5 linked regions of the Nothobranchius furzeri genome follow. Each later gene encodes a partner of the first gene's protein in a complex. Links are inferred from orthologs where the notes say so. Each region holds a gene or a part of one and is shown on either strand. Other genes may lie near its edges.

The links.
Region 2: the proteins of thoc1 (region 1) and thoc5 are in contact, whole or in part, in a cryo-EM structure (PDB 7APK), measured with the Homo sapiens proteins. The link is inferred for Nothobranchius furzeri from reciprocal best matches to the Homo sapiens genes THOC1 and THOC5. Residues at the interface, in NP_005122.2 of Homo sapiens: Glu60, Arg145, Arg146, Leu147, Ser148, Ser150, Gln151, Lys285, Met286, Leu289, Val296, Tyr297, Phe298, Leu302, Ser304, Leu307, Leu310, Gln311, Ser313, Asp314; in NP_001002877.1 of Homo sapiens: Tyr52, Arg113, Lys120, Asp124, His127, Leu128, Gln131, Asn132, Leu134, Tyr135, Glu136, Met138, His139, Thr145, Lys146, Glu149.
Region 3: thoc1 (region 1) and chtopa share a complex: the UniProt entries of both Homo sapiens proteins name them as parts of the transcription/export (TREX) complex. The link is inferred for Nothobranchius furzeri from reciprocal best matches to the Homo sapiens genes THOC1 and CHTOP.
Region 4: the proteins of thoc1 (region 1) and thoc7 are in contact, whole or in part, in a cryo-EM structure (PDB 7APK), measured with the Homo sapiens proteins. The link is inferred for Nothobranchius furzeri from reciprocal best matches to the Homo sapiens genes THOC1 and THOC7. Residues at the interface, in NP_005122.2 of Homo sapiens: Leu10, Arg14, Glu46, Gln53, Arg56, Glu60, Ile63, Ile64, Asp99, Asp102, Cys103, Leu104, Pro105, Arg146, Gln151; in NP_079351.2 of Homo sapiens: Tyr47, Gln51, Leu54, Ser55, Ser58, Gln59, Phe62, Gly65, Lys66, Leu69, Val70, Met73, Arg76, Glu77, Asn80, Ile84, Ile88.
Region 5: thoc1 (region 1) and alyref share a complex: the UniProt entries of both Homo sapiens proteins name them as parts of the transcription/export (TREX) complex. The link is inferred for Nothobranchius furzeri from reciprocal best matches to the Homo sapiens genes THOC1 and ALYREF.

Annotation. Positions count from the first base shown.
Region 1 is NC_091751.1:49,147,951-49,152,025, reverse strand, and holds the start of thoc1 (THO complex subunit 1), read left to right. Parts: upstream 1-1,268; 5' UTR 1,269-1,317; coding exon 1,318-1,365; intron 1,366-2,018; coding exon 2,019-2,092; intron 2,093-2,171; coding exon 2,172-2,232; intron 2,233-2,302; coding exon 2,303-2,372; intron 2,373-2,527; coding exon 2,528-2,646; intron 2,647-2,746; coding exon 2,747-2,795; intron 2,796-2,884; coding exon 2,885-2,980; intron 2,981-3,089; coding exon 3,090-3,172; intron 3,173-3,258; coding exon 3,259-3,332; intron 3,333-3,406; coding exon 3,407-3,515; intron 3,516-3,624; coding exon 3,625-3,759; intron 3,760-3,900; coding exon 3,901-4,001; intron 4,002-4,075. UniProt on the Homo sapiens protein: Component of the THO subcomplex of the TREX complex which is thought to couple mRNA transcription, processing and nuclear export, and which specifically associates with spliced mRNA and not with unspliced pre-mRNA.
Region 2 is NC_091757.1:44,994,544-44,998,623, forward strand, and holds the start of thoc5 (THO complex subunit 5 homolog), read right to left. Parts: upstream 2,809-4,080; 5' UTR 2,694-2,808; intron 2,473-2,693; 5' UTR 2,471-2,472; coding exon 2,372-2,470; intron 1,696-2,371; coding exon 1,552-1,695; intron 1,324-1,551; coding exon 1,210-1,323; intron 854-1,209; coding exon 756-853; intron 533-755; coding exon 386-532; intron 268-385; coding exon 153-267; intron 1-152. UniProt on the Homo sapiens protein: Component of the THO subcomplex of the TREX complex which is thought to couple mRNA transcription, processing and nuclear export, and which specifically associates with spliced mRNA and not with unspliced pre-mRNA.
Region 3 is NC_091751.1:23,238,918-23,242,585, reverse strand, and holds the end of chtopa (chromatin target of PRMT1a), read left to right. Parts: intron 1-2,034; coding exon 2,035-2,212; intron 2,213-2,283; coding exon 2,284-2,436; intron 2,437-2,522; coding exon 2,523-2,725; 3' UTR 2,726-3,160; downstream 3,161-3,668. UniProt on the Homo sapiens protein: Plays an important role in the ligand-dependent activation of estrogen receptor target genes. May play a role in the silencing of fetal globin genes.
Region 4 is NC_091743.1:56,272,739-56,276,479, reverse strand, and holds thoc7 (THO complex subunit 7 homolog), read left to right. Parts: upstream 1-1,457; 5' UTR 1,458-1,544; coding exon 1,545-1,563; intron 1,564-1,770; coding exon 1,771-1,894; intron 1,895-1,998; coding exon 1,999-2,126; exon of another isoform or gene 2,127-2,425; coding exon 2,426-2,512; exon of another isoform or gene 2,513-2,630; coding exon 2,631-2,688; exon of another isoform or gene 2,689-2,766; coding exon 2,767-2,833; exon of another isoform or gene 2,834-2,925; coding exon 2,926-2,995; exon of another isoform or gene 2,996-3,067; coding exon 3,068-3,129; 3' UTR 3,130-3,233; downstream 3,234-3,741. UniProt on the Homo sapiens protein: Component of the THO subcomplex of the TREX complex which is thought to couple mRNA transcription, processing and nuclear export, and which specifically associates with spliced mRNA and not with unspliced pre-mRNA.
Region 5 is NC_091752.1:50,607,594-50,611,701, forward strand, and holds the start of alyref (THO complex subunit 4), read left to right. Parts: upstream 1-1,300; 5' UTR 1,301-1,427; coding exon 1,428-1,667; intron 1,668-1,931; exon of another isoform or gene 1,932-2,164; coding exon of another isoform or gene 2,165-2,371; intron 2,372-3,627; coding exon 3,628-3,786; intron 3,787-3,871; coding exon 3,872-4,019; intron 4,020-4,108. UniProt on the Homo sapiens protein: Functions as an mRNA export adapter; component of the transcription/export (TREX) complex which is thought to couple mRNA transcription, processing and nuclear export, and specifically associates with spliced mRNA and not with unspliced pre-mRNA.

The sequences.
Region 1 (4,075 bases):
CTCCCAGCACAATCTCCAAGTTTCTCATCGTGCTTACTCCCTTTCTGCTCTTCATCAGTTTTTGGCAACAATCTGATGAACTCTGAGTAAGATAAGGGATGGGAGAAAATAGGTATTAGTAAATCACTCCTCACTTCCCTTTTTCATGAACACTACAACCACACACGTGAAGGAAATAGAGCCTCTCCTGCTTCCATGTGACACTAAACGCCTCCACTTCACAAAGTCATTGTTCTTCTCTTAACATCAGCACAGCCACCAAAACACTGTCACAAAAAGGTTACAAACACCCATCAAAAGGAGCTGAAAAGGATCATCCTTGTATGTAAATCCTAGAGGTCTTGACCTGGATCAAAACAAGCTTCAGTGTTCTCACATGGGTTGAGTAAATCTTTAGTTTAATGATTGTTGTCTCAGGGTAATGGAGCGGTTATTCTAATGTCAAATCGGACATTGTTAGACAAGCAGATGGTATCAAAGGATTCAAGGCCTGCAGCACATAGCTGAATGTTCATTTGCATGATTAGAACATGTGGAAGTGCACACCAAGACAGGCACACATGCAAAACAAACACATTACAACTGCTGTGCATTGTGACCTGTCAAAGTCAAATATTTATTAACAAGAAAGGACAAAAATTATTTCGCTCTTTCCGTTAAAATAAATATAACTTTGAAATGCATACAATATAAACAGAGTGACGTTATTTTACAAGTATTCAATGGCTGACACAACTTATTATTATTATTATTATTATTGTTGTTGTTGTTGTTGTTGTAATTATTATTATAAAGAAAGTTTGGAACATGACTCTTTAAAATAAAAATCAAGTGTAAGATTTTTTTAAGTGAGTCCTGGCCAAAAGGCAAACTAAACCATACAGTGGGGAAATTAGGATTAAAATAAATATTAATACTGTTATTTTCAGGAAGTAGAAATACTAATTTTAACTCACCATTTGAAGAAGGTTTCCATGCATCCATCACTTACAGCCACTCAGAGTTTGATGAATGTAAGCAAATTAAAAAATAATGAAAAACTTTAACAGCAACAATGGTGTACAACACTGCCATCGTGTGGTCAAGATTGCTATGCTACGGTTTATTTCCATTTTTCATCCAAAATGGAAATAAAAATGTGACTGACTGAACTATTTGAAACTAAATTAAAAAATACAAAGTTAGTTTTATCCTAACTCCGTTTATAGATAATATGTATTAATGTATAATTTTGTCAGATAATTCCCTTTACGTACAAAAACGCCACTTCATAACCGGAAGTGATTCGTTGGCGGTTCCGGTTTCAGAAGCGTAAAGATGTCTCTGTCCTCATTTAATTTTGTCGACGCTAAAGAGAAATTTTCGGTGAGAAGTGGCTTCTTTCTGTCATTTCCATCCATAATATATTTGTATGTAAGACAACTTGTTGATAAAACCGTAAAAAATCTTAACTTCACTACTTTATGGTTGTGCTTGTTGTACTAGTGTAGTAGTTAGCCAAAGAAGCTAAGCTAAAGTAAACGCTTCTGAACGGTCCTGTTGTTTACGAGGTTGAAGTTAGCTTCCGATTTGGAAATTGGCTAAAGAGCATTTGCACTCAATTTTATTTACTATGACCATCTTTAATCTGCTCTATTTAAAAAAACTACAATGCCTAGACAGTTCAAACCGGGACTGGAATATTCTAGACTAATAGCAGATTCCATAAAGCATAGTTTGTGATTTGTGAAACCTTTTTCAGATTTGTGAAACTTAAAATAGGCAGATTTTGAAGTTTCACAAATCACAAACTGTTTTATGGAATTTGCTATTAGTCTAGAATAATCCCGTCCAGGTTTGAACTGTCTAGGTATTGTAGTTTTTAAGATGAAGCAGATTAAAGATGGTCACCGTATATAAAAATTGAGAGTGGCCTTGGCCTTAGCCATTTCCCGAATCGGAAGCTTGAAAACGGAAGCAAACTTCTGCATCGTCTTTTGTTTCTCATTATGTCCTTTCCCATGCTCACCCAACCGTAGGCTGCAAGCACACAAGCACTAGCTGGTAAAACCTGCAAACCCCTAATCGCCGTGTTTAACCAACTCCCCGGCAAGTAAGTTGTGCTCCTGGGTCGAGGTTCCAGATCAAAATAATCCAGAAATACAAATTTACTACTTGTGTGTTTTTGTCAGTGAGACGGAAAAGAAGACCACACTGGATCAGGCTTTGAGGAGTGTTCTTGGTGACCAGATTGTAAGTTTAATAAGTTAGTTAATTTAAATTTGAAAATATGTGAGAATCGCTAATGATTGTTTCTCTCTAGCTTGAGCAGAAATCATGCTGTGATGACTATCTGTCTCTAATCTACCAGAGCATCAATGCTGTTACTGAGGGTATGTTATCACTACTGCTGAGGTGGATATTTATTTTAGATTAGATGATTTTGGATTTTAAACATACATGTTGAAAGGATCGCTTTGATATAAGTTTTGGTAAAACGTCTCTTAAAACAAATGACAGTGTAACATTTATTCTGTTTTTAATGCAGGTATCTGTTCTGCTACGACTCCTTTTGTCCTGCTGGGAGACGTTCTGGATTGCCTTCCCCTTGACTTGTGTGACAAAATATTCTCTTTTGTTGAAGAAAATGTCTCTACCTGGAAATCGGTATAATTACAGGCATTTTTTTTTGTAAAGGCAACAAAAATATTTCTCTGTTTTTGTTAGAAGGTTTCATTATTGTACCTGTGTTGTTTCTTTCTTCCAGAGCTCTTTTTACACAGCAGGAAAGAACTATTTGTTGAGAATGTGTAACGGTAAAAATCTTGTCTTTTTCTCTGTCATCCAAAAGACTTTCTATTCTCAGAAAGTTCAGGTGCAAGTGACTTTTGTTTCATCTGTACAGATCTTTTAAGGAGGCTGTCGAAATCCCAGAATACAGTATTCTGTGGGAGAATCCAGCTTTTCCTGGCACGTCTCTTTCCTCTGTCTGAAAAATCCGGTAAGAAAGTCAGTTATTTTTCTAACTTGAAGGGGAAAAAAATCAAAGCACTTTACAATCATATTGTAAACCTCTCAATTAAATAGATTTTGTGTGTGTTTTAATCCAGGTCTCAATCTACAAAGCCAGTTTAATCTGGACAACATAACCGTGTTCAATAAAAATGAACAAGAAAGCACTCTTGGTCAGAAGGTGAAGTATTGTTAGGTTAATTATTAGGTTAATGAGCTCATCCTTTCCATCCTGTTTCATCTGTTTTTTTGCTACTATGTTGACAGCACGCTGATGAAAAGGAAGACGGCATGGAAGTGGAGGAAGGAGAAATGGGGGAGGATGACGCCCCGGCACCGTGGTGAATGAAAACCATTTGCTGTATTTGCTCACATTTTCACCTTCATGAAATAATAGTACCCTTTTGTTCCTTAGTTCTATTCCGATTGACTACAACCTGTACAGAAAGTTCTGGACATTGCAGGACTACTTTAGAAATCCGTTGCAGTGCTATGAAAAAATCTCATGGATTACTTTTGTTAAGGTAATCCACCTCGGTGCAGCAACTCTGACCAATTTGACGGATCACTGTCAATATCCAAGATGAGGATAAAAAAATAAATAAACTTGTGTGTTGCTTTTGCTTTGCTCAGTACTCCGATGAGACTCTTGCTGTGTTCAAAAGCTACAAACTGGATGACATGCAGGCGTCAAAGAGGAAGTTGGAGGAGCTGCGAGCGTCTGATGGTGAACAGGTTTACTTTGCCAAGTTTCTCACGAGCGAAAAGGTGCAGAAAAATCATTAAAAATCTTTTAATCATGTATAAATAAGCAGTTTTTAACTGACTATGGCTGTAAGTCATATGTTTTTCTGTCTTAAAAGTTAAACTTCATTGTTTTGGGATTTTTTTTTTTTTTGTAATCTGCAGCTGATGGACTTGCAGCTCAGCGACAGCAACTTCCGGAGACACATACTGGTGCAGTACCTGATCCTGTTCCAGTACTTGAAGGGTCAGGTCAAATTCAAAAGGTGAACATTTGTGCAACTAAACAAATATCACTTGTTGGGATGGAATTAGTTCATGTTTATGCTTTTTGATTTCT
Region 2 (4,080 bases), on another chromosome or scaffold:
ACACAGTGATAAAAGATGACCAAGTAGAAACATATAATTACATTTATAAAATATTGTATGCAATCATATGCAACCTCCTACTATCTTAAAGCGGACATGTTTCACTTGGAAGCGTAAAATTTTCATTAAAAATCTGTTTTTGTTATTTTTACCTGCATGATAGCATTCAGTCCTGGCTGCAAGCTTCTTAGATGCTCTTTCTTCACTTCAATGCTCTTCTGAATTTTCTCCTTTGTGGCCTGTGAGTCCTTGTATTTCTCAGCTAGCCTGTTTCCAACAAAAAATACTTTAATCAGCTGCTCTCTGCCAGACAAAGACTACACCGAACAGCAAAAAGTAACCACAATAGTACAAATGTGTACTATTTCGTGGTAAAGTTCTGTACCTCTTTCTCTGTTCGAGCTCCCAGTCCAGCCGTGCTAGTGTGAGCTGGTGGGGATCGGTTTTTGTGAGAGAAGGCCTGGAGATCTCCGGCGGGGCATCCTGGTAAAACTCTTCTTCACTCACCAAGTCAATTTCTTCATGCTTAGATCTTGTTAAGAGACGGAGAATTTAATTAGACATGACAGGATACTTTTCAAGTAGTGCTGAGAATGTTAAATTAAAAAGAAACAAATTGTTTAGTGGTTTCTTATAGAGATATGTTGTTACATCCTTAAACACTTTTAATAAAACTGATTATTTCATCTTAAATTATAAATAAAAAGTGTTGAAAAAACTAAAGGCTGAAGTCAAGTAAAGAATTTAGTACTAACTTGAACTCCAGACATTTGCTGATCTCCTTCTGAAGATGCATAACCTCATAGAGCAGATTTTGCAGCTGAAGGTGGAGCACATCAACTCTCTGTTTAGCCTGGAAACAGAAAAAGTAATCACCAATGAAATTTGTAAAGTAACAAAAAAAATAACCCTTTAAAAAATAATAAATGCATGCTTGTCAAAACTCAGCATTTGATCATATTAATGAATGTAAATCAAATTTGAAGTAAAACACTCAAAGCTTAACAAAGAACACAAAAACTAAACTGGTATTGCACATTGACTGTAGCCTTCACTGTGGTTGAATGTTAAAATGAAAAAGGTGCCTCTTGTTAAACATTCCTCCTGCAATCAGCACAAAACAAACAAACACTTTCCAGAAAGTAAACAAAACATTTTAAATTATAACAGTTTTTTTCCACAGTTCAAAAGTAGACTTGTGAAAATTACCTCATGTGTTTGGTCTCTGCCTCTTTTCAGTCGCATGTGAGCTAGACGGTTGAGCTTCTTAAGATTCATGAAGAGGATGCAGCTTTGCATACGTTTCTGCTCGACATCCATACTCTTAAAAAGAAACATTTATGTATATATATATATGGATATTTACTTTCATACCCATACACTTAACTTCAGATCTTACAGCTTTGATATGGCATGTGAAAAAGTCAATAAAAGAAACATCTGGAACAGATGTTTAGTAGAGATTTTCCAGCAGAAAAGGAAACGTTTGAAAAAGAAACTAAAGGAAAGTTGTATACTGCTGTGATGTATTGTAGAGATTATGGCTCTTACCCCTTCCTTGGCACCAGAGGCTTTCATCCTCTGGATCTCACTCATGAGTTTGGATAAAGCCTCACATGACTCTTTGTATTGATCAAAGTCCTGTTCAGGGTTCCTGCCATCCAATTCCACCTCCTCATTATAGACACGAACATCCTGGGAAAAGAAACAAGCATGCAATAATAAAACCATCAATAATATACTACTTCATAGTATTCTAAAGTTATTACACACCTACCTCACTATTGTTTTTGGGTTGCTAACATGCAACCTAGTGTTTAAAAACATAATGTGCTGTGAATATTCCTGTGAACTTGTTCAACATGAGATGTTCAATTGTTACCACAAAAACAGATTTAACCTTGTGTAATACTATGTGGATGAATTAACCGCAATTCAATATTCAAACACCTATAAAAACTATAACTTTGACTTTAAGGAACCTGTAGGACGTGAACTGAGAGGCAGAAAATGTCCCTGTTTGATTGATCATCACATAAAATAAAATGTGCAAACTCTGACATTTTTAACTGCCAATGTTCTGTATATTTGTAAACTCAACAGTAAGTACAATTAAAGCTTCAATTAGTAAATTCATCGCAGCAATGAAGTCCAATACTGGTCACTGAGAGCCACGATTCTGCATGTTTTAGTTATCTCCCTGCTCAAATCCACTGCTGTTTAACAGATTCGTGTTTTCAAGTTTACAGAGGCATGCTAACTATCCATTCATTCAAACTAGATGCTGCTGAAACAAAGATGCTGGACAGTGGGCCTACATGTCCATGATTGGACACCACTTATTTACAAAGTTCTGAGTGATTCTGTCTACCTGCTGGTCCGCCTCTCCACGTCCCCGCTTCACCTCCGGGGTTCCTGCTTCACTGCGGAGAACCTTCGATTTCCGCTTCTTAAGAACGTCGGAAGACATGGCTATTAGAATGTGAAAATAAAGAGTTTTAGACCGATAAAAAAACACCGATGAAAACATCACTTTAGTAACAATGACATACGGTTAGCATGCAAGCTAACACGGGCTAATAACCGTTAGCTTGTAGCTAACATCGGTATACTAAACTAATAGAACTAATATTTTGACGGATATTATGCGCTCATTGTGGTTATAAATAGTATGTTTTCCGACAAATACTCACTTGGTCCAAACTTACGTCTTTACTTGATAGAATAGTACACGTAAAAACGAGAACTCCCTCTACATACAAATTGTCGATTTAGGACGGAAGCCCAACACACAGACATACGTAATCGTAGACGCTCCAAGGACAGGCGCTGCCTATTTCAGCTGCCGTAGCGCCCGGTTGCCATCTTAGATGGGTCTCCATTCGCCTGCGGTGCATTTACATCTACTGATGAAGTTGCTGCTTACCCAACTAAAAACACATTATATCAAGCTTTTTAACCAAATCAGACACAATGTATGGCATAATTAAAATATAAATATAATTAAACGAAATAAATAAAAATAAAATAAAAAATATTATCAGGTAGGCTAGAAAAGGCACTAGTAAATCCACGTGATGTTTTTGCCGGGCATAGTTGATAACTCTGGATTGACTTTAGAGTGAGGAGGCAACAAGAACTGTTTCACAAATGAATTCCATATGTTCTTATCCACTTTGACTCGTATAAAAAATTCAAATGCAACTGCAAAAGCCATTTGTCATGCTGCCGAAAAATGTTTAATCTTGTAACAATGTTTTTACTTTGTGATATAAGTACCTCTTTTTAAGTTTATTTGTTTTTCTTTTATTGTTACTAAAGATGCCTTGTATGTTTCTATTATGTGTTGTTGTCTCACGAGAAATTTTAATAAGAATTTAATGATAATATTTAAAAAAGTGGAGGCCCATCCAATATGGCGGCGCCACTCTGGGTCTCATATCTAGAGCCCAAGAGTCAAAAAGCACTGCATTTAGCGCTAACGGAGGACACAGCGCGACCTACTGTCCTAAAAGCTACTGTAACTTTAAGAAATTCCACAAATAGTCATTTCAAAAATGTAAATGTAATATTATAAATTTGCAGACATTTTTCCATATTAGTTATTTTCTTTGTAAGTGTAATTCTCCATTTAATGCAAATGTATTCATAAAGCAGTTATAGATCTATCATATTGACACGATGCACAGTGTTTCAGTCCTATAAGAGCAATCTATTTGCATAGATCTTTGTTCATATTTTTCACTCTTTTGATTGTTACCTTGTATTGTGGCAATAAACTTAATTCTTAAGTGGAACATCTGTAAGTTTTTTTGCATCACGTACAATCAGAAGTTAATTTCTAATAGTTACATATGCAGCACCATTTGATACCCATCTAGAACAAACTTGCATCAAACTAAAAATTACAGGACCTAAATATATAATTTTCTACTTTGAAATCAATCAGTCTAACAACATAAGTAACATAAGTGTTTATTCACAGTTTGACAGTGTTTCAAATTTACAGACTTGTACAAATTATACTGAAATCCTCTTAATACATAAAACAGTTCTGCTACTCTTTTCAGACTTAGCAGA
Region 3 (3,668 bases), about 26 Mb from region 1:
AGTGGGCTCGACTCCGTACGGACTTGCGTGCCTGCCGGATCCCTACGCAAGGACGGATAATGGCGTTGCGTGTCTCCGCACTGACGCAGACGGAGAAGCATAAATCAGGCTTAAAGCTGTGTTCAGTAGGGAAAAGGGCACAAGTTAGCAAAGGTCTGATGGGTTCTCAAGTCAGAAAGATTCTGTTCTGGTTTTATCAGTGAATTATCATTGAAACCAAACCCAAGCCTGACAGAAGATGCATTTGCTGTTTGGGAAGTACAGTCCTGATCAAAAGTTTAAGACCATTTGAAAATGGCCAAACGTCGTGTTTGTTTGGTTGGTCATTAACAAGGTCCCAAGTAGAGCTTCAATGTGCAACAAAAAAGAAATGGGAGTGAGACAACGATCAAATCGAAACGAGCTGCTTTATAGCTGATAAAAGGTTTAAAGAACAAGTTCACTGAGAAACCATTTTTATGTGTTATTTTTTTAAATGATTGGTCACTCTGAGTTTCACATGCAGGCTGAATATGTGAATAGTCTTCTACCCCTTTTTCCTGCATTAGCCGATAGAAAACAGACGAGGAAATTCTCAGGTTAGCAAAGCCAGTCAGATCTACCTCACAGTAAGTTAACATTCATGGACTCGGCCATCTTGGCTCAAGATGGGGAAGGCAGTTGTTGGTTTAGCATTCAGGAGAGACTAGAGCTTGCCTTGGCTAATAGAAGCTAACTGTTAGCATTAGCTGCTACTCTATACAGTAGAACTCATTCATTTATGGAGGTAAAACATCAATGATGCAAATCAAACAAGGTTAGTGGTAGAGTTGTGTTGCTGTTAGCCAATCAGGGGTGAGATGTCCAAATAGTCTTGTTGTACCCTTAAGCCGGGCGGACACTGTGCGACTTTTTCACTCGTAGCACTCAGCTTCAGCTCAAACTGTACGACTTCCTCACAGAGCAGATCTCACGAGTCGTGCGCTCACACTGCACGACCCAGTTCTCGGATGCGATCTGACTGCTCACGCTGTACGTCTGGTAGCAACACGTCGGCCCTAAAAATGTGCTAAAAATAGCAGTTTTTACACAACACGTCAGACTTTTTTGTCTTGTTTTGCCTGTTGTCCTTCGGGAGTGCTGCAGGGGGACACACAGGGATTTATGGGGGTTGGATGAGGAAAACAAAATAAAGAAAGTAAATCTGTGTTTTGTGATCAGTTTAATTTGACATGAACACGACAAACACGCTTTCTTGACAACCTTTGTGAGTAAAAAAAGTGTAGAAAATAAAAACGAACAACGTGTGTTATTAGGGAAATAGCGGGCGAGCGGTGTTGATGCATGCATGTGCCGTGAGCGGTTCTGGTACTTTTTGGGTCGCAGCTGCTCGCAGCGCCGCTTCAACAGTGCGATACCCTCACGAGGGACGAGCAAAATATTAAACACGCCAGAAGTCTGTGCGAGCTCACGATTGCTGATCGGTAGCTGGTCACGTGGTGTTAATCGCCTCTCGTAGCCCCCTGTACACGACGCTCAGCGCAAAACTCGCCCCGATCTCGTGGATTCTCGCACGAGTGGAAAATCGGCTCAAAAAAGTGAAAAAGTCGCACAGTGTACACCCGGCTTAACCTGAGCTTTCCACTGGATGCATAAGTGACGCGGTTCCTCACGAGCTCAGCGGTGCATATCGTCTCACCGGGAGATTTTCTGACATGAAGCGGCAGTGAATGTGTCACAGCTGGACCCACAACGTTACAAAATCACAGGAAAACGCTAGATCAAGCATGATTTCAGCGGTTCACGTGATAACAAGCATGGAGAAAGATGGTAACGGTATCCTAGCAGGTCTGTGGTGTACTTACTGTTTACCTCAGTCACAGAGGTTTTACAGGTAAATATAATAGAAGCTAAGTGCTACGTACTACGCTTTGTGGACATTTTGTGACGCTCGCGCGTCTGATGGAAAGCTGGGATAACAAGCTGGACCTACTCTTGCTTCGCTTTATTTGTGTTCCTGATTTGTTGCTGTGACCGATCCTTCTGAACCACCAGAGCCTAAAGCAACGTCTGGGGAAAGGCAACATCCAGGCCCGGCTGGGCCGGCCCATTGGGCCTCTGATGCGGGGTGGACCTCCTGGAGGAAGAGGAGGCATGCGGGGGATGACCAGAGGAGGCCTCAGAGGGGGTTTGAGAGGAGGGATCATTCGTGGGGGTCTGTCTTCTCTGAGGGGTAGGTGTCCGTCAGCGTGGAGATGGTAGGGGTGTTTCCTCTCAGCTGAGCAATCACATTGTGTTAAACAGCCAGGCGAATGCCTACAGGTGGACCTATGAGAGGTCGGGGGGGCATCGGACGCTTCCCCATGCGTAGAGGAGGTCGGCATCGTGGAGGAGTGGCAGGAAGAGGAGGAGTTCTGTCTCGAGGAGGAGGTCGAGGTGGAATGCCCAGAGGCCGGGGTAGAGTTTGTATTTATTAGTACAATCGTTTGATGACTCGTGTCTTTTTTTTTTTCACTGTCTCACTGATGATGTTCTGTCTTCAGGCCGTGGTGGACTTCGTGGACGTGGGGGATTTGCTGGTCGTGGGGGCCGCGGCCGTGGGCGGGGCAGAGGACTTGGCCGGCCCACCGTTACAAGGGAACAACTGGACAATCAGTTGGATGCGTACATGTCAAAGACCAAGGGACACTTGGATGCAGAACTGGATGCCTACATGGCCCAGGCAGATCCCGACAGCATGGAGTGACGGCCCAGCGAGACCAGAGCTGAAGACTGGGGCGTAGCGTCAAGTGGTGTTGCTGCACCCTGTTGTTTAGCCGTGCATCCACCTGCTGCTGAAGAGCCAATCAGCTGATGAATAAACTCAAGGGGACTTTGACCCTGATGTCCACGGACTTCCTGTATGAAGTTTTAGTCAAACAGGTGTTTGGTGTAAACTGTTTAGTTTTTCTTAGTTTTTCCTCAAACCTCCAGAGTTTCTTTGGCTCATCTTAAACTTGCAGTGGAAACGTTTTTTAAAATGATAATTTTACAAGAATTTTAAGACGAGTCATTTTCTCTTATATTTGACAGGGAAAGAAGTGCTCAGGCTTTGGGTTGTTTGTATTCCGTGAAGCTGACAAGATGTTTGTTTTAAAATTATTTCCCAAGTTGTGTTAAGGAAATAAAATGATGAATGAGATATTTTCTGATTCATGTCAAACATTTAAGGCCTGTAGGTGTTCTGGAGCATGTAGAAAAGCAGATGTCCTGGTGTGATCTTAGCTTTTGTTCTGCGATTGGTGCCCACAGGGACATGGTTTCCATGGCTGTGTCTCACTGGGAAAACGTCACCAGTTAGAAGGTTGGACGTTCAAACCTAAGACCTACAAACTTCTCTATACTACATCCTGTGAACCATGTGTGTGTGCGCACATACCTAAAGGATTATTAGGAACACCTGTTTAACTTAATGCAATTATCTAATCAACCAATCCCATGGCAGTTGCTTCAGTGCATTTAGGGGTGTGGTCCTGGTCAAGATAATCTCCTGAACTCTTAACTGAAGGTCAGAATAGGAAAGAAAAGTGGTTTAAGCAATTCTGAGCGTGGCATGGTTTTTGGTGCCAGACGGGTCGGTCTGAGTATTTCACAATCTGCTCAGTTACTGGGATTTTCACCCACAACCATTTCTAGGGTTTACAAAGAAT
Region 4 (3,741 bases), on another chromosome or scaffold:
CCAGTTCTCACTGTCATTGCCCATGTGAGCGTTAAAGTCCCCCAGCAGAATGAGGGAGTCACTGCAAAGAGCGCTTTCTAGCACCCTCTCCAAGGTCTCCAAAAAGGGTGGGTAGTCTGAACTGTAGTTTGGTGCATAAGCACAGACCACAGTCGGAACCCGTCCCCCCACACATAGGCGGAGGGAGGCTACCCTCTCATTCACTGGGGAAAACTCCAAAGTACAGGCACCAAGATGGGGGGCAACTAGTATGCGCACCCCTGCTCGGCGCCTCTCAGTGGGAGCAACTCCAGAGTGGTAGAAAGTCCAACCCCTCTCAAGGAAACTGGTTCCAGAGCCAGAGCCATGCGTTGAGGTGAGTCGAATATATCTAGTTGGAACCTCTCAACCTCACACACGAACTCAGGCTCCTTCCCCACCAGAGAGGTGACATTCCATGTGCCAAGAGCCAGCTTCTGTAGCCGAGGATCAGACCGTCAAGGTCCCCGCCCTCAACTACCACCCATCACACACTGCACCCGACCCCTTTGGCCCCTCCCACGAGTGGTGAGCCCATGGGAAGGGGGACCCACGTTTCCTCTTCGGGCTGTGCCCGGCCGGGCTCAGTGGGTGAAAGCCCAGCCACCAGGCACTCACCAATGTGCCCTACCTCCAGGCCTGGCTCCAGAGGGGGACCCCGGTGACCCACGTCCGGGTGAGGCAACACGTTTTCCATTTATATAATTCATCATACGAGGTCTTCGGGCTGCTCTTTGTCTGATCCCTCACCTAGGACCTGTTTGCCGTGGGTGACCCTACCAGAGGCAGAAAGCCTCAGACAACTTAGCTCCTAGGATCATTGAGGCACTCAAACCCCTCCACCACGCTAAGGTGGCAGCCCAGGGAGAGGCTATTTTCTAATCCTAATCTAATCCTATTTGATATGTGCCATATATTTCACATATATGTCTGTGAATTTTAAAGACACGTTTTGATGTCAAGAAAGTGCTTATTTTTGAACAGCTGCAAAAGTTTAGGGTTTTGTGTTAAAAGATGTGTACAATGCCTGTCCAGTATGGGAAGCTGGTGACTGGATGCTGAACCATCTTGCTAGACCAGCATTGTATGCTGATCTACCACTAAACCAGCACCAAACACAACATATGCTGTTTTTATGAGCAGGGCTTTGCTCATACATAATTGAGGCGTTTTTTTACACAGCAAAAAGTGATTACAGCATTCATTTTGCCTTTGAAAAATGTATTCTACCGTAATTCAATTTCATCACTTGATTGTGTAATTTGTAATTGATTGTGTGATAAAAAAACCTAGTGGTATTACTAAATTGCATTTAAACTAAATCTCTGTGTCACATAATCACTGTAATCACTGTATACTTAAAATCCACATTATTTAACGAAGATGAAGCGAAAAGATCACAACATGCAGTAACGTCCTCTTACCAGATAAGGCAGTAACGAGCTCAGCTGTGTCTGAGTTGCCTAAAGACAAAAGATCAATCAGTACCAGTAGAACGGAAGTAGTAGAAGAAGAAAAACAGCAACATGGGAGCTGTAACTGATGGTTTGTGGCTTTATCATTAACTAATTTCAGCACTTAAGTTACTCTTTACTTTTGTTTTCGTCTAAGTTTAAAACATTGTAAATTGCGCCTTATTATCTGGAAAAATACCCAGAAATGCTACCTGTAATAGCGACGTTAGCTAGCACACTTAGCATAGATGCATTATGTTTTCAACGCTCTTCAGCTGCTTTATTGCATGTTCCACAGATGAGGTGATTCGAAAACGTCTTCTCATTGACGGTGACGGAGCTGGAGATGACCGCCGAATCAATCTGCTGCTGAAGAGCTTCACCAAGTGGTGCAACTCACCTTCTGGGACCCTAGAAGAAGGGTACGAGCTAGCAATATATCTGTCTCCAGTTTTTGCTTGTAACATCTTGAATGCCGAGTACACAACTGCAGTGAAATGCTGAACATTGGGCTCTTTGTGTGTAGATTCACTCAGTACCAGAGGATGGTGGCTACTCTGGCTCAGTGTGAGTTTTCTATGGGAAAGACGTTGATGGTTTATGACATGAATCTTCGTGAAATGGAGAATTATGAGAAGATCTACGCAAACATAGGTAAGATCGGCTTTGTTTTCAATGTCACAGAATTTTTTGTTAATTCTTTTAGTCATACATGCCAAATGGCCTGTATTTTATAGAGCTTTCTAGTCCTGGAACCCCCCACGGCGTTTTACAACACAACACAATCAGACATTTACACACACATTCACACACTGGTGGTGATGAGCTACATCGTAGCTACAACTGAGCGGGGCTCGAACCTGCACCCTTCTGATTATGGGGCGAGCACTTAACTCCTGTGCCACCATCGCCCAATTAACACTAATCAAACTTTTTTCTTTCGCACCTCGCAGAACAAAACATCACATCTGCACATGAGAAGATCACAGAATGCAAAAAAGAAATTCTGCGTGCCAAGAGAATACGAAAAAATCGCCAGGGTAAGGACATTTTAACATCTGTTGTATTTACAGAAAAATTACCAGATGTGGTATCAAATGTGCGTTGTCAAAAGGATGTAAACTTTTTTTTAAGTATCTGTTCTCTGTCTCTCCAAAGAATATGATGCTTTAGCAAAGGTAATCCAGCAACACCCAGACAGACATGAAACACTCCAGTAAGTCAGCCTATCGATAAAACATGTCAAGCTCCCCTTCATGTTCAATAAAGTGCTCATTTTTGTTTTACCTTCCAGGCAGTTGGAGGCACTCGATAAAGAACTCCAGCAACTGTCTCACATCAAAGAGAACGTAGATGCAAAGGTAAACTCAAACACAGCGGCCTAATGTTGTTAAAGTATCAGATTTAGTTGTATTTTTACTGACTTTTTATGCCATGTTTGCATTCTCTTTAGTTGGAGTTGAGGAAGAAGCAGTTTCATGTTCTTCTTACTACCATTCAGGAGCTGCAGCAGACACTAGAAAGTAAGTAGCCACTTGGTTATACAGACAAACTGTTGTCAGAGCTGCCCTCATCGTCTATCCTGTCTTTCCTAGATGATGAAAAGTCAGATAGTGACGACCACAGTCAGGAGAGTCCCATGGAGAATGGGGATTGAACACATAAAGAGCCCAACTGAAGGAGTCACAGCTTTTAATTGAAATTTAGTTTGTCTAAGAATCCTTTTTTGTATGTATTTTTGAATAAAGCTGTCATCTTGGAGTATATCTTTAATTCTTATATTCTCTTTTCATTAAAATAATCTCAGTAAAAATGTAACCAAAGCTTCCAGGCTTTTAAGAAAATCAACTGAAACTCTGATCAGAAAAGAAATTTAATACGCGTCAGTCAAGGACAGAACAGTTGTTGAACATTCATATGTGCTGTATTTTCTCTGGAAGTTTCTGCACTATAAGTGAGAGTTTGAATACTTGTAAAATCTAAGTGTCATTAAACCCAATTATCATTTTTTTCATACTAAATTATCATTTTTTCATACCAAACTATCAAATAGTTTCTGATTTAAAGTTCACAAAATTACATTCTTCTGAGAATAAGACGTCTGTAACAAGAATTATGGTTTTGCTCATTTATTTAAAAATGAATGCCAAAATTTACTGATGTAGTAAATAAACCACAATGAAAGAAAGCCTCTGACTTCCTATGTGAATGATCACTATGTACTTTGTTGCAAACCCCTGTAAATTGTTTTAACCGAACCATAAAGTCT
Region 5 (4,108 bases), on another chromosome or scaffold:
AGACATGTCTGACAATGTCAAGTAGGCTCAATGATCTCAAAAGCAAATGGTTGATTGCAGTTATTACAAATAGGCATGCAGTGCCAGGTTTTGGCTGCTTTTTCCCTTGAAAGATCAAATAATTGTTTATCTGAAGTGTTTTGCAAAATTTTCATATTTTAAAATTTTCTTGAGCCAGTGTGTGCTAAAACAACCCTGTACAGGGTTAATGAAATGTCACTCAGACCCCGACCACCCTCTATGGCCAGAATGTCGCACTTGCAACTTCAGAGTTGGACTTGTGGAGCTGACATGCCTGGTGCTGCAGTCTGCTTCCTGCATGTTTTAGATCATAAACACTGCTGGTTTGGTCAATTTAGTGATGAGCTGCTCCTGTAGAAATTAAGGAAGGATGGGGAGACATTATTATGGATTAAGGTGTTTAAAAAGGTGAATGCACAGTTTCACTTTTGGTTTTACTAACAGAACACTAGGGGCTGCTAAAAGCAACCCAAAACTGGTTAGTTGTGCAAAAAAAAAAAAAAAAAAAAGCAAAAGTTTAGAAATCTAAGGGGTCAGTAGCCATCACCAGTTCTGTGTAACTGCTTAAAGAGCAAGTCACCCCCTACCAGAGTATTACTCCGCTCCCACTTCCTGTTTGAAAAATGCAACAAATTCTGTTGCCTAGCAGACCAAGAGGGCGGGCCCGCTAACAAATACACACACACACAACGACATTGTGACATCATATGCTACCAGCTAACGTTCTAGGGTACCCCTTTGCCAATAACGATGGCAGATTTAAATTCAAATGCAGTGCAGAGTTTTTACCTGACAACGGCACAACACTCACAGTTTTAGGCAGAAAATTTAAATTTTAACTTAAATGCACAAAAGTGCAAAACTACACGTGTCTGCAGCACGGTTAGATACGCATTTATATAGTTTATCAGAAAAAAGTTGATCTGGGAGTGTCTTGCTCTTTAAACACTTAACTATATTATTTTAAAATCCTTGACTTTGTGAAAGTTTCTTTTAAGAATTGATGATTGATGTGGTTTAGTTTTTCCCGGTTATTTCTTCAGTTTACAGTTTTAGTTTCGATCAAATGTTATATGTCATATTTGTCAAAAAAATATTTATTTATTTGTTCTGTATTTTACCACATCTGTGTAGAACTTTTGCACAATTCGCACATTTTCCTGTCAAGGTTTCTTTTAGATACATGCTCCGCCCGGTTCCGCCTCATCGTCGACAGTAGAGGGGATCACGTTCACGTACTCACGTCAGGCTTACGTAGAGAACGTCGTGTTCTACTACTTGTGTTTAGCAGCTGCTACAAGAATCAGACACCGTTGAGCCTTGAAAGGGACAGGGAGAGGGACCGACCGTGTCTAGGGTGTAACATTCTTAATTTGTTCAAAGTTTAGCGTTATTGGGGCAGCAAAATGACCGATAAGATGGATATGTCTTTAGACGACATTATCAAACAGAGCAGGCAGCAGAGAGGTGGAGGCCGGGGAGGAAGAGGCCGTGGCCGCGGAGGCACAGGCAGCGGCCGGGGTGGAGGCGCTGGGCGACTCGGAGGCGGCGGCGGAGGCTTTGGAGGCCGAGGCGGTGGATCCGGCCCCATGAGGAATCGACAGAACCTGAGTCGCGCTAGAGGCAGACCTACGCCTTACAGCAGGGTATGAGAATGTTAGAGGAATAAGCAGAGAAATGTTTTCATATTGTGTCCCTTCTCCCGCAACCCAAATGTGTAACGCACGTCGAGCTTCAACAGCCTACGGAAGGAGTGGAGGCCCTCAGCGCCATTTTGAATCCAGCCCCGCATTGTGAAGCTAGTCGTCAGTGAGTGCTCAGTGAGAGGTATCCTGGCCACGGTGGTGAAAGAAACCCACTTCGTCAAGAGTATCACTCGAAAGTGTGTTTTCACTGCTTGTCGGAGCGGGATATGTGCTCAAGTTCCCGCCAGCGCAGCGACCAGGCGGCCTTTTGTTCGGGGAGTGGGTTCTCAAGCCCTCTGGTGGCTTTTTCTACCAGTTTGCCTGTTACTTGTGGATGGAAAAGCGGACTTTTACTCCTCTGTTAGTGCCCAAACAAAACCGGTTCTTCGTCTTTTAAAGTGTGATCGAGTTGGTAGCGAAGCCAAACAAAGCCCCAGTCAAAATGGCGTGGTTTCAAAATGGACGCTCACGCAGAGGGGAGATCTGGCCATTTTCACTCCTCATCCAGCACACGGACTCTTCCCCTACTGAGAACTGTTCTGAGGTCCAGGACACAAAGTACCAGCGCTGGAGACGCCGCTGCATCGAACAGGAGTCCCCGAGTGTCCCGAGGAGCTGGCTTTTCTGGAGGGAGGCGCAGATGGCGAGAACAATGGGCATCTCTGGTAGCTAGTCTGAGGAGTTTTACAGGTTTAGCATCAAGTCTGTGGGTTTGGGTTTAAGAAATATCTGTGATGGTAATACTTAGGTTTCTGGAAAGGCTCGTTAGTCTATTCTAGGGTTTATTTCACTAGAAACCCAGAACAGGACTGTTGAGTTTTGTTTTTATGGTTTTGTTTTTAATCCATTTACTACATCAAACTTGGATCTAAAGAATACATTTTTATTTTAAGTGGGCTTTAATGGGACCATTTTTCTTTAGACAGTTGATTAGAGTGATTGAAACAAGTGGCTCCCAGATCTTTTAACTTCTGATTTACAAGATCTGTGATTAAAAACCTTCATTATTCATGACGGACACGTACAAATAGCCAATAAGACAATTACATTAGGACAGGAAGATGACTCCATCCACTTTCACCAAGACTAAACGCTTGTCAGTTGGTCTGTTTAGATGTTTTCTCTTCATATATGTCAATTATTTTTAAATTTGATAATCTCAACATTGGTGTCCTGTCCTAACTTTGGGAACCAGTGAGTTTGAACTAGGGATGCACCGATACGATACTGGTATCGGCACCGATACCAATACCAGTATCGGTGAAAGTTAACCAATACCAGGAACCGATACCAATGCAGTTGCTTGAAAATGGCTTCACTGTAACTTGTCATTTCTGTTCACCTAATATTTTAGTTTTGTGATGATTTCCATTCATATATTTTACTTTTTATCTACCTCACAGTCTTTTCCTGTTGAAAGCAGAGAAGAAAGTAAAATCTGCATTCCAAATCATTGCATTTTTTTTTTTTTTGTGTGGTAGAAGTATCTGTATTGGTATCGGCGAGTACTAAGATCGGTTTGGAAAAAAGTGGTATCGTTGCATCCCTAGTTTGAGCATGTTTTTACTAACTTAAATCAGTATGGACTTTATTGTGATGTTTGTACACATTCCGATTTAAGATGGCCCAACATTGGTGTGTTAACGTTTAAAAAAGTTCAAAATTTGAATCGAAGCGAGACTACTACAAATCCCCTTGCTTTTGAGTATTTGTGTGCACGTCCCTTTGAGCTGATGCACTTGCTCGTTGTGACGGGGTGGGCAGGGAATACTGGGGACCCCCCCCCCTCTAAAGGGAGCTGAGCACCATGTTGGAAGTGGAGCCCCCTGCTTGCCCCAACAGCCAGCCGTGTGGACTCAGTGATGGGCAGAGGCAAGGGGATCCTGAAGTCAGCAGGTGCGTTCTCTTTCATCTGTTGCAGCCTAAACAGCTCCCAGACAAGTGGCAGCACGACATGTTCGACAACGGCTTCAGTGGCTTCAATGGTGCTGCTGGGGGTGGCGGGGGAGCTGGTGTGGAAACTGGAGGGAAGCTCCTCGTCTCCAATCTCGACTTCGGTGTTTCCGATGCAGACATTCAGGTACTCCAAAATCCGCGCTTCACTGGTTGGTTGTGTTTTATGGCTTGTTGCTGTCTTAGACTAATCTTGGATGTACTTTTTCAAGGAACTTTTTGCGGAATTCGGAACTCTGAAGAAAGCTGCAGTTCATTACGACCGGTCGGGAAGAAGCTTAGGAACAGCAGATGTCCACTTTGAAAGGAGAGCTGACGCTCTAAAGGCCATGAAACAGTACAACGGCATCCCACTGGATGGTACGCTTCAGACCTTGTTTACATTTTTCTGGTTTGACATGACTAAATAATTCAAACTTTCTTGAGTGTTCAACCCCCTTTGAGCTGAT